Linked DNA regions of Oreochromis niloticus. The protein of the gene in region 1 purifies or fractionates together with the protein of each later gene. This does not show direct contact. Links are inferred from orthologs where the notes say so. Each region holds a gene or a part of one and is shown on either strand. Other genes may lie near its edges.

Evidence for each region. The genes of interacting proteins can lie anywhere in the genome.
Region 2: the proteins of kdm8 (region 1) and rccd1 purify together in Homo sapiens (co-immunoprecipitation; 3 studies listed by BioGRID and IntAct, counting the BioPlex papers as one, with this or other methods). This does not show direct contact. The link is inferred for Oreochromis niloticus from reciprocal best matches to the Homo sapiens genes KDM8 and RCCD1.

What each region holds. Positions count from the first base shown.
Region 1 is NC_031969.2:25,122,256-25,126,008, reverse strand, and holds the start of kdm8 (lysine-specific demethylase 8), read right to left. Parts: upstream 2,753-3,753; 5' UTR 2,476-2,752; coding exon 2,466-2,475; exon of another isoform or gene 2,410-2,465; intron 2,378-2,409; exon of another isoform or gene 2,302-2,377; coding exon of another isoform or gene 2,298-2,301; intron 1,359-2,297; coding exon 874-1,358; intron 139-873; coding exon 1-138. UniProt on the Homo sapiens protein: Bifunctional enzyme that acts both as an endopeptidase and 2-oxoglutarate-dependent monooxygenase.
Region 2 is NC_031972.2:57,591,460-57,595,212, forward strand, and holds rccd1 (RCC1 domain-containing protein 1), read right to left. Parts: upstream 2,429-3,753; 5' UTR 2,317-2,428; coding exon 2,109-2,316; intron 2,004-2,108; coding exon 1,788-2,003; intron 1,690-1,787; coding exon 1,530-1,689; intron 1,400-1,529; coding exon 1,278-1,399; intron 1,202-1,277; coding exon 1,100-1,201; intron 1,012-1,099; coding exon 841-1,011; intron 755-840; coding exon 725-754; intron 611-724; coding exon 429-610; 3' UTR 128-428; coding exon of another isoform or gene 106-127; 3' UTR 103-105; downstream 1-102. Other genes in the region: cib1 (calcium and integrin-binding protein 1), read left to right, coding at 1-20, 106-127; unc45a (protein unc-45 homolog A), read right to left, coding at 3,603-3,753. UniProt on the Homo sapiens protein: Plays a role in transcriptional repression of satellite repeats, possibly by regulating H3K36 methylation levels in centromeric regions together with KDM8.

The DNA.
Region 1 (3,753 bases):
GATGATTCCTTCTAAAATCACCGGTTTGAGGGGGAGCAGGTAGTTTGTTTTGAAACTTTCCAGTGAAGGACACCTTATCCTGGGAACCGCCAACTCTTCTTTGATTGCAGAGACAAGCGGGCTTTCAATCTTTATTCTCTGAAAATGATTTCAAAATGAAAAAAAAAAAAAAAAGTCAATTCAACCTTTAGAGGAAAACGATAAGAAAAACAAGTCCTTGATTATATCTCACAGATGTGAGTAAACAACTATCAATTAAGTCTTCTCTGGGTTCCAGCTTATACTGATTTCAGTGTTCTTTTGTACTGTAAGTGTGGCAGGCAATTTAATCATAGTATGACTTTAAGCTTCTGGGAAATGTGTTGCTACTTTCTACAGTTTCCTTGACCTGATTAACCAAGAACAAATTAAAGAAAATTTCTAAATACTTGTTAGTTGCAGCCCCACTCCCCACTGTGCAGCTCGTGACAGATGGGTAGAATATTTCAACAGCTTTTTTAAGATGATAGCTTTTAAAGGGGGAAAAAAAAGCAAGAAAAATCCTGCCAGCCCTGCGCTAAACTCTCCATCTCTATTTAGATGGTGTCTAAACAAAGTGACCTGACATTTGAAAAGTTGCTGCACTTAATCTTCAGTGACATCTGATGGAGTGCAACAAAATGAAGGTCACAGAGGAATTTCTTTTCTAAGCGTCCAGAAGATTTACTCTGAAATGTCCCCATCAGTCACTATTACTTCGAACAATGAATCAGGTTAAATGAAATGTACAACAATGTTTTCTAACTAGTAGAACTTACAGTTAGTAATTACTAAATAAACTAAAGGACTGACAGAAAATTGTGCATTTCAGATGAAAGAAAAAAAATCGCTGACCTTGACCTCAGCACGTTCACTCTCATCCTCTTCTTTAGTAGAGTTCAATGTCCTTATGTGACTTTGCAGAATCCGAACAATAACCTGAAGTATATCACCCATGATGGCCGCGCCCATGATTAGACCCATGTCGCAAGTCCGAACAGCCTCCAGGATCTTGTCTTCGGACGGACTTTCACAACACAGTGCCGCCACTTTGAAGAAGCAGCCATACGAGTAAACGCGCCTCCACTCCTTGTCCACGTGCCGCCATGTTCCGGTGTTGAGCTTCTCCCATGAAATGTCCAAAATAATCTGAGCATTAAGCAACCGGCTGGAACTTGTGATGTCGCTGTACAGCTGCTTCCTGGACCGTTGCAGCATTTCCACCACACTCAGCTCCACTTTGTCACTGAATTGCAGTGGAAACTGGTCTTCATTAGCAGGCACTACTGGAGAGATTTTTGACCACAGCGATGCCATTGACGAGAAGGTCGTTATTTTTACTGTCAAATGAACAATGAAAGTGAGTCAGGGTTAACAGTGAAGTGTCAACTCAAGTTCTTATAATGAAGCACTTAGAAGTTAAATTTGCTCAGATTTAGGCTCACTTTCACCAATTCACTGACTTTTCTTTTTTTAAAGGGAAGGGATGTAATTTAATGACTCCTTATGTATTTAGCTGGTTATTGAGCCCACCAACTGTTAAAACCGCCTGCCATTGTCGCACAAATACACAGTACGCTTGTTCAGCCTCTTTGGTGCTGTGAAACAGATGTATACAACTAATTACTAAACTGGCAACAACAGAACACAGGTGAGGGCATCCTGAGCCAGAACCGGGGGGCGAGACACATGCATGAAAACAACACTTTTGCCGCATTGTTTCTGGAGCCGCCAACTCCGCCTCCATGTGACTCCATCAGCGTTTGGATGGTCTGTGTTGCTGGAGATGATGCCAAAGCAGGAGGCAGCCAACTCCGAGGGCCTGATTCATTTGAGTACAGAAATGCAGCCCTGTGAACTCAGAGGCAGACTGGACTAAACAAAGCAAGCATTTGATATGCCACATGCCTAAGCCATCCACGACCCTGGAGTGCACTCCAGCTGATTTTTACACAGTCACATGGGCTGAGAGCATGTGCAGCAAACCCAAAAATCCAATGGAAACCCCAGCGACATAGGATATTTGGGGAATTACAGTCCCTTCAGTGAGATTTCATTATGGAAGTCATCAAAGTATGAGCAAAGAGTGAACTTTATCTCATTCATTTTTTTCCTTTATGCAGCAGCGGGAGAAAGCCAATTATATTTTTCTTTAAAGCCTCGGAGATTAGACTCCCGCAGTGCAATTCACTCTATGCTCAATTTTATCCCAAAATCTCACAAGAAACAAAGATGTAACATGAACGCAAGACTGTAGCTTTAAAAACGTGGCTACTTACACATACACACAGAGAGATATATACTCCTTTAAATACAAATGTTCTTAATTTTTTGCTAATAAAGCTTGCCAGGAATTTCCCATTTAAAGCTATGACGAAACGCACTTAATACCTGAAACAGGTTTATGGACACAGAAATAGAGGACCAGACCTCATGAAAATATTTACAGTTTTCCATATTTATCCCTTTCTTCCTTCTGTCATTCTTCGTCTCTTTTCTGTTACTTGCAGTCTGTGAATTTTGCACACTTGTGAAAAACGTTTTGACGACAATGTTTCACGATGACTCGTAAACACGGAGACTTATTTAAGTTCAAATTAAATCCCTAAAATGCCACATTTACCTTTTACTAAGCCATTTACACCAATAATCCGATAATATCTGTGAAATTACGGAGCAACTCCACACACACGCCCGCGCTACTCTGACGCCTGTGGCACAACAAAAACACACCGGGAGGAAACTCGAATAGCTAAACATATTGGTTCCACGCTGCAGTGTAGATATTCAAAGCTATATATAAAAAACAGATCCCCTCAAATTAATAATGACAAAATATTGCTTTTATGGTTTATTTATTTTCAAGAACTTAAGCTTTTTCTTTTCTTTCTCAAAAGGCAGAAACTGGGATTCCCTTTGTGGTCCAGTAGATGGTGGCAGCATCTGCACTTCCTCTAACCTGTGAGGTTACAGTCCCAATGCAAAGGCAGGATGGCATTCAATTAAATGGCACTTTGCTAAGTCCTTGGACTCTGCGACCCCCCGCCCTCCCCTTCTCCAAGTCAAGCTGGCGCGCTGCACACCCCTGTTTGTTTGTCATGTGTTGCCAGTTTCCTGCCAAGCATACACACTCCCACGCATATCCTACTCCTACACGCACATTTTTGCTCACAACCTCTCAGACTACTGGCTATTTAAAACCCGTTTCTGTCTCATTTCTGTCTTTTTAGATGATTAACCAGATGCTCTGAAGCTCAGTTAAAATGAAACAGCGCTCTGGTGACAGCACCACCTCATTTACATACAATTATAAATTTGGCTTAACAGGTGAAATGACAGAGTCCAGTCAATAGACTGTCTTGCAGTGAGACCCCAGCTCTTTTGTCACATTAAATGACAGCACACAACTATTTGTTTTTCCTCCCCTTTAATTGCTCCCACTGCTCGAAACGATTTATGTAAACACAGATATTCCAAGAAGGATGATTGATATTTATCAGCTCAAGTGAAACCATATTTGGGTTTGTCTTTTTGATGTCACACAGAGATATTTGGAGGGGCAGGGCAGTTATATTGCTTTTTTAGGGGGTATGTAGCCTGAACAAGCATGATAGGAAACCTTCGGCAGGGAAGTCTAGAATCTATAAACACAGTGCACTATTATCAAATGTCAAACACTCTATGAAATTCAAATATTCTCTCAGTGCAAACTGCACAGCCGCTCTTGTATGTAAA
Region 2 (3,753 bases), on another chromosome or scaffold:
AGGTCACCAGATTTTGTCAGGTAACTAGAAATCCAGCTGCTCCAAATACCAATAATTATTTGCATTTATAAGTGTCCAATTGATTCTCATTTGATTTATCCACAGTTCCTTCAAGATTGTGCTCTGAAGACTTCCAGTGGACCTTGGAGATGCATGCACCTTTTTAATTTTAGTGTATAATTTTAAATCAGAACAGTTTTAATTACTTGCCTTAAATTATATTTACCTGTGGATTTTGCTGCCTTAACTGTTTTATGTCATTTGTCAAATATAAACCCTTTTTAAACATCTGTTTGAAGAAAAAATAAAAGTTTCACCAAAAAGTATTGAGTTGAGTTTTTATAGAGAAAAAAAATGAACAAATAAATTTAGTTAATTCTTTGTGTTTGTAGGAGAAATTTACAACTGTCGTCCAAAGTTCACTGTGCTTAACAAGTGCATTTTGTGCTATTTTCAGCACAAGCTACTTCCTCCTTTACAGCTGCAGCAAATGTGTTCCATGTCCCGCACACCACATCAAGCACACGCATCTGCTCAGCCCTGAAAAACTCCACACGCTGCGGCTCATCTGAACTAGTTACGGTTTGATGTCCAAGCTGGCCGTATTCCCCTGGAAAGGTAATAAAGGCAAAGAAGCCTAAAATCTCGGCATTCACTTTGATTTGAATGATGCTGCTGTGAGAATTTCACTTAGATGTAACACGTTTCTAAAACCAAAACTCACCCCATCCCCAAGTATAGAGGTCACCAGTGGCTGAAAAGAAGAAATTGTGACATAATTAGTTTATTTGCTAGGAAATGTGCATCCCTGTAAAACAACTGCCAAAAGACATTCCTTACTTGTTACTGCAGCTGTGTGGCGGGAACCACAGCTTACTGTTTGGATTTCACATGAAGGAGAGACATCCAGCAGAGCAGGGAACGCCTGGATTGATATGAATACATCTTCATGCTCCTCTTCCTCCTTTAGCTTTTCATCAGCTGGTGTACTGGTATCATAGCACAATTCTCCTGTTTGATAAAGTCAGTGGTTCAAAATGGATGTAAAAACTGCCTCTTCAATATAACTCTTTAAAGCAGTGCACATTTCAGGACAGACCTGTTTGCTGACTACTTTTCTGCTGAGATTTCCTCAGACCTCGGGAAGGAAGTCCAAGCTGGCCGCTCTCATTCCAGCCCCACACATAAAGGTCACCCCCATCTAAGAACAAAAACGATCCTCTTCAAATCCTTTTCAAACCGAGTGTAACTTGTCCAAATCTTTATTTGACATTTACCACTAATGCAAGCTGAGTGCCAGCCTCCTGTAGCCACACGGGTCATGGACATCCCCCAGAGTGCCTCCACTACTCTGGGCTCCTCCTCAGAGGTGAGCACTCCATGCCCCAGCTGACCATGGCTGTTACATAAACACATGCACGCATAGGAAGATTAACTTATGCTTGTTCGTTTGTTTGTTGATTGTTGTTTATGCATGAAACTGCTGCTTCTCATATGTTCAATAAAGATATATGTGTAAGTGGCTCCACCTGCCCAGTCCCCAGCTGTACACTGCTCCAGTGGCAGTAAGAAGAACGGCATGCTCTGCACCCAGTGCTAGGCTCCTGGCTTTCAGGTGTCCTGGTAAGGTGCAGTAGAGGGGAGGCTTTAAGGCAATGTAACCCCCAGGGACCAATGGCAAATTCACATCTACAAAAAATAAATAAAAAGTAATATTGAGACTCTGTAATTTCATACATCATTATTAATGTCTGTCTAGCCAGATAAGATATTAGCATACACATTACCAGAGCCCTCTGCGTGGGTTTTTATATCCATGCTCCATGATGGACTCTTCTCCCTCTTCTGCAGATCCCAGGTCTCAATCCTGTCTGGGAAGGCCAGGGTCAAGTGCGATTCACTGATGAATACATCTTTACAACCATAGCTCTCTATTTTAGAAATACCACAGTCCTCACTGGAGACCGATTCCCCAAAGCCTGCCAGGCTCAGGCAGCTGTCTCCTGACAGAAACAGAAAACAACAACGTAAGAGCTAAGCTAAAGCAATAGATGTATTAAAGACATGTTATTCCTCAGAACTCAGAGCGATGTCTTTGATACACTCACCATCTAAATGTAAAGATGCTCTTCGACTCCAGCTCACTCTGATCTGACTTGTCTTCAAGCAGCATCCACTTTTATCCACGTGACTGCTGAGCTCTGCTGGGTGAGTTACTTTAACTTGGTGGAGCGCGCTGCTACTTTCTCCTCTGCCTGACTTTTCCTGGACACGTATCTGTCCAAAGGCATTGAAGCCGAAACCAAACCAGCGCATCTGAACACCGTGCCGCTCAGCGGAAGAATCCGCAAACTTACCTGCGGCTGCGCTTGTTTTCGTACTGCAGGAGCACAAGCGGCGAGAGATGATGACGAGTGGCGAGGGAGGAGCATATGGTTTAAATCGTCTTTAAAGAGATAGACACCAAGTTCATGTTTATTGACAGTATTTAAGATGGGCTTTTTTGATACAGGTTGTTATGTATTACTGGCCTGGCTCACTTAGGTAGCAGATCAGCTGGACTGTACATGATCACTGAACTAAATTGAGTTTTAACCCCTGCCATAAATTATAAATTGTGCATCACAAACTTTGATAGGACAAAGTTGTAGAATGGCCATTTTAATAATATAAAAATACTCGGAGCAGTCAGTGGCCCCCCCCCCCCAATCCTCCTAGCAGCTGTACCTATGATGTCAATTTCAACATCCTATCTTTGTTCTCAGTTATTGCATTCACAATATTTTCTGAAAACTGAGATTCAAACTCAGAGATTTTTAGTAGATACACTTAAGGTATCAATTTGAAACTCCTACATTGCTTCATTCTAAAGTTATCACATTCAAAATGTTGGGTATCCTTATTGCCTGCCCAGCAGGGTGATGACAATGCCTTTCATGGTTGAGGGATAAACATAGTTGGGCATCCCAGCACTAAAGCACCATTATAAAGTACATCTAGCAAGGCTGGATATCAGATAAAGTAAACAGAGAAGTGAGGATTGGTCATTTTTATTTATTTATTTATTTTTATGTGTTCACTTAAAACGTATTAAAACAACAAAGCACACAGGGAATGTGTTGGACTGTCAATAATAGTGCTAACAAACATTTAAACAAAAAGTACATTTTATAGTGTAAATGAAATGTTTCTATTTTTGCTGAAAATAAAATAAAATATTGAGAAAAGTAGTGTGCACAATAAAAATAAGAACGTATTTGTGGGACTAATGACAGTCAAATTAAATATTTGCACATATATAGGAATGATCATTTTTAGTGAAAATACATGGAGGAGAAATGTTGGTCTCTGGGTGGAATATGCACTTTTGCCAGACTTTAGCAAGCATACAATCAACGTTACACAGCAGTCAAAAATCATTTGTGTGCTGTTGGTTCTTCCATTTGATACCATTCTTCACCACATCCCTTATTGCTTTTAATCATTTTTTGTTAAGACATGAGCCCATTTCCTGCAAAAATGAAATTACTTCACTGGTCCAATATAACGTTCGAAGTTCTGAAACACTGTCAGGTGGCACATTCACACACTGCACTTTGTGTTCAGGGTTCAGTTCCTGAGCTCTTCTTCTTTTCTTCCCTGCTTCTGATGATGCCGTACTCCATTGCTTTATCCAGGCAGTTCTGAGCTATCTTCGAGACAGCATCTGGCGTGCCCTCTCCTCCCTTTGCAAGGACGGAAAGAATCTCCAGA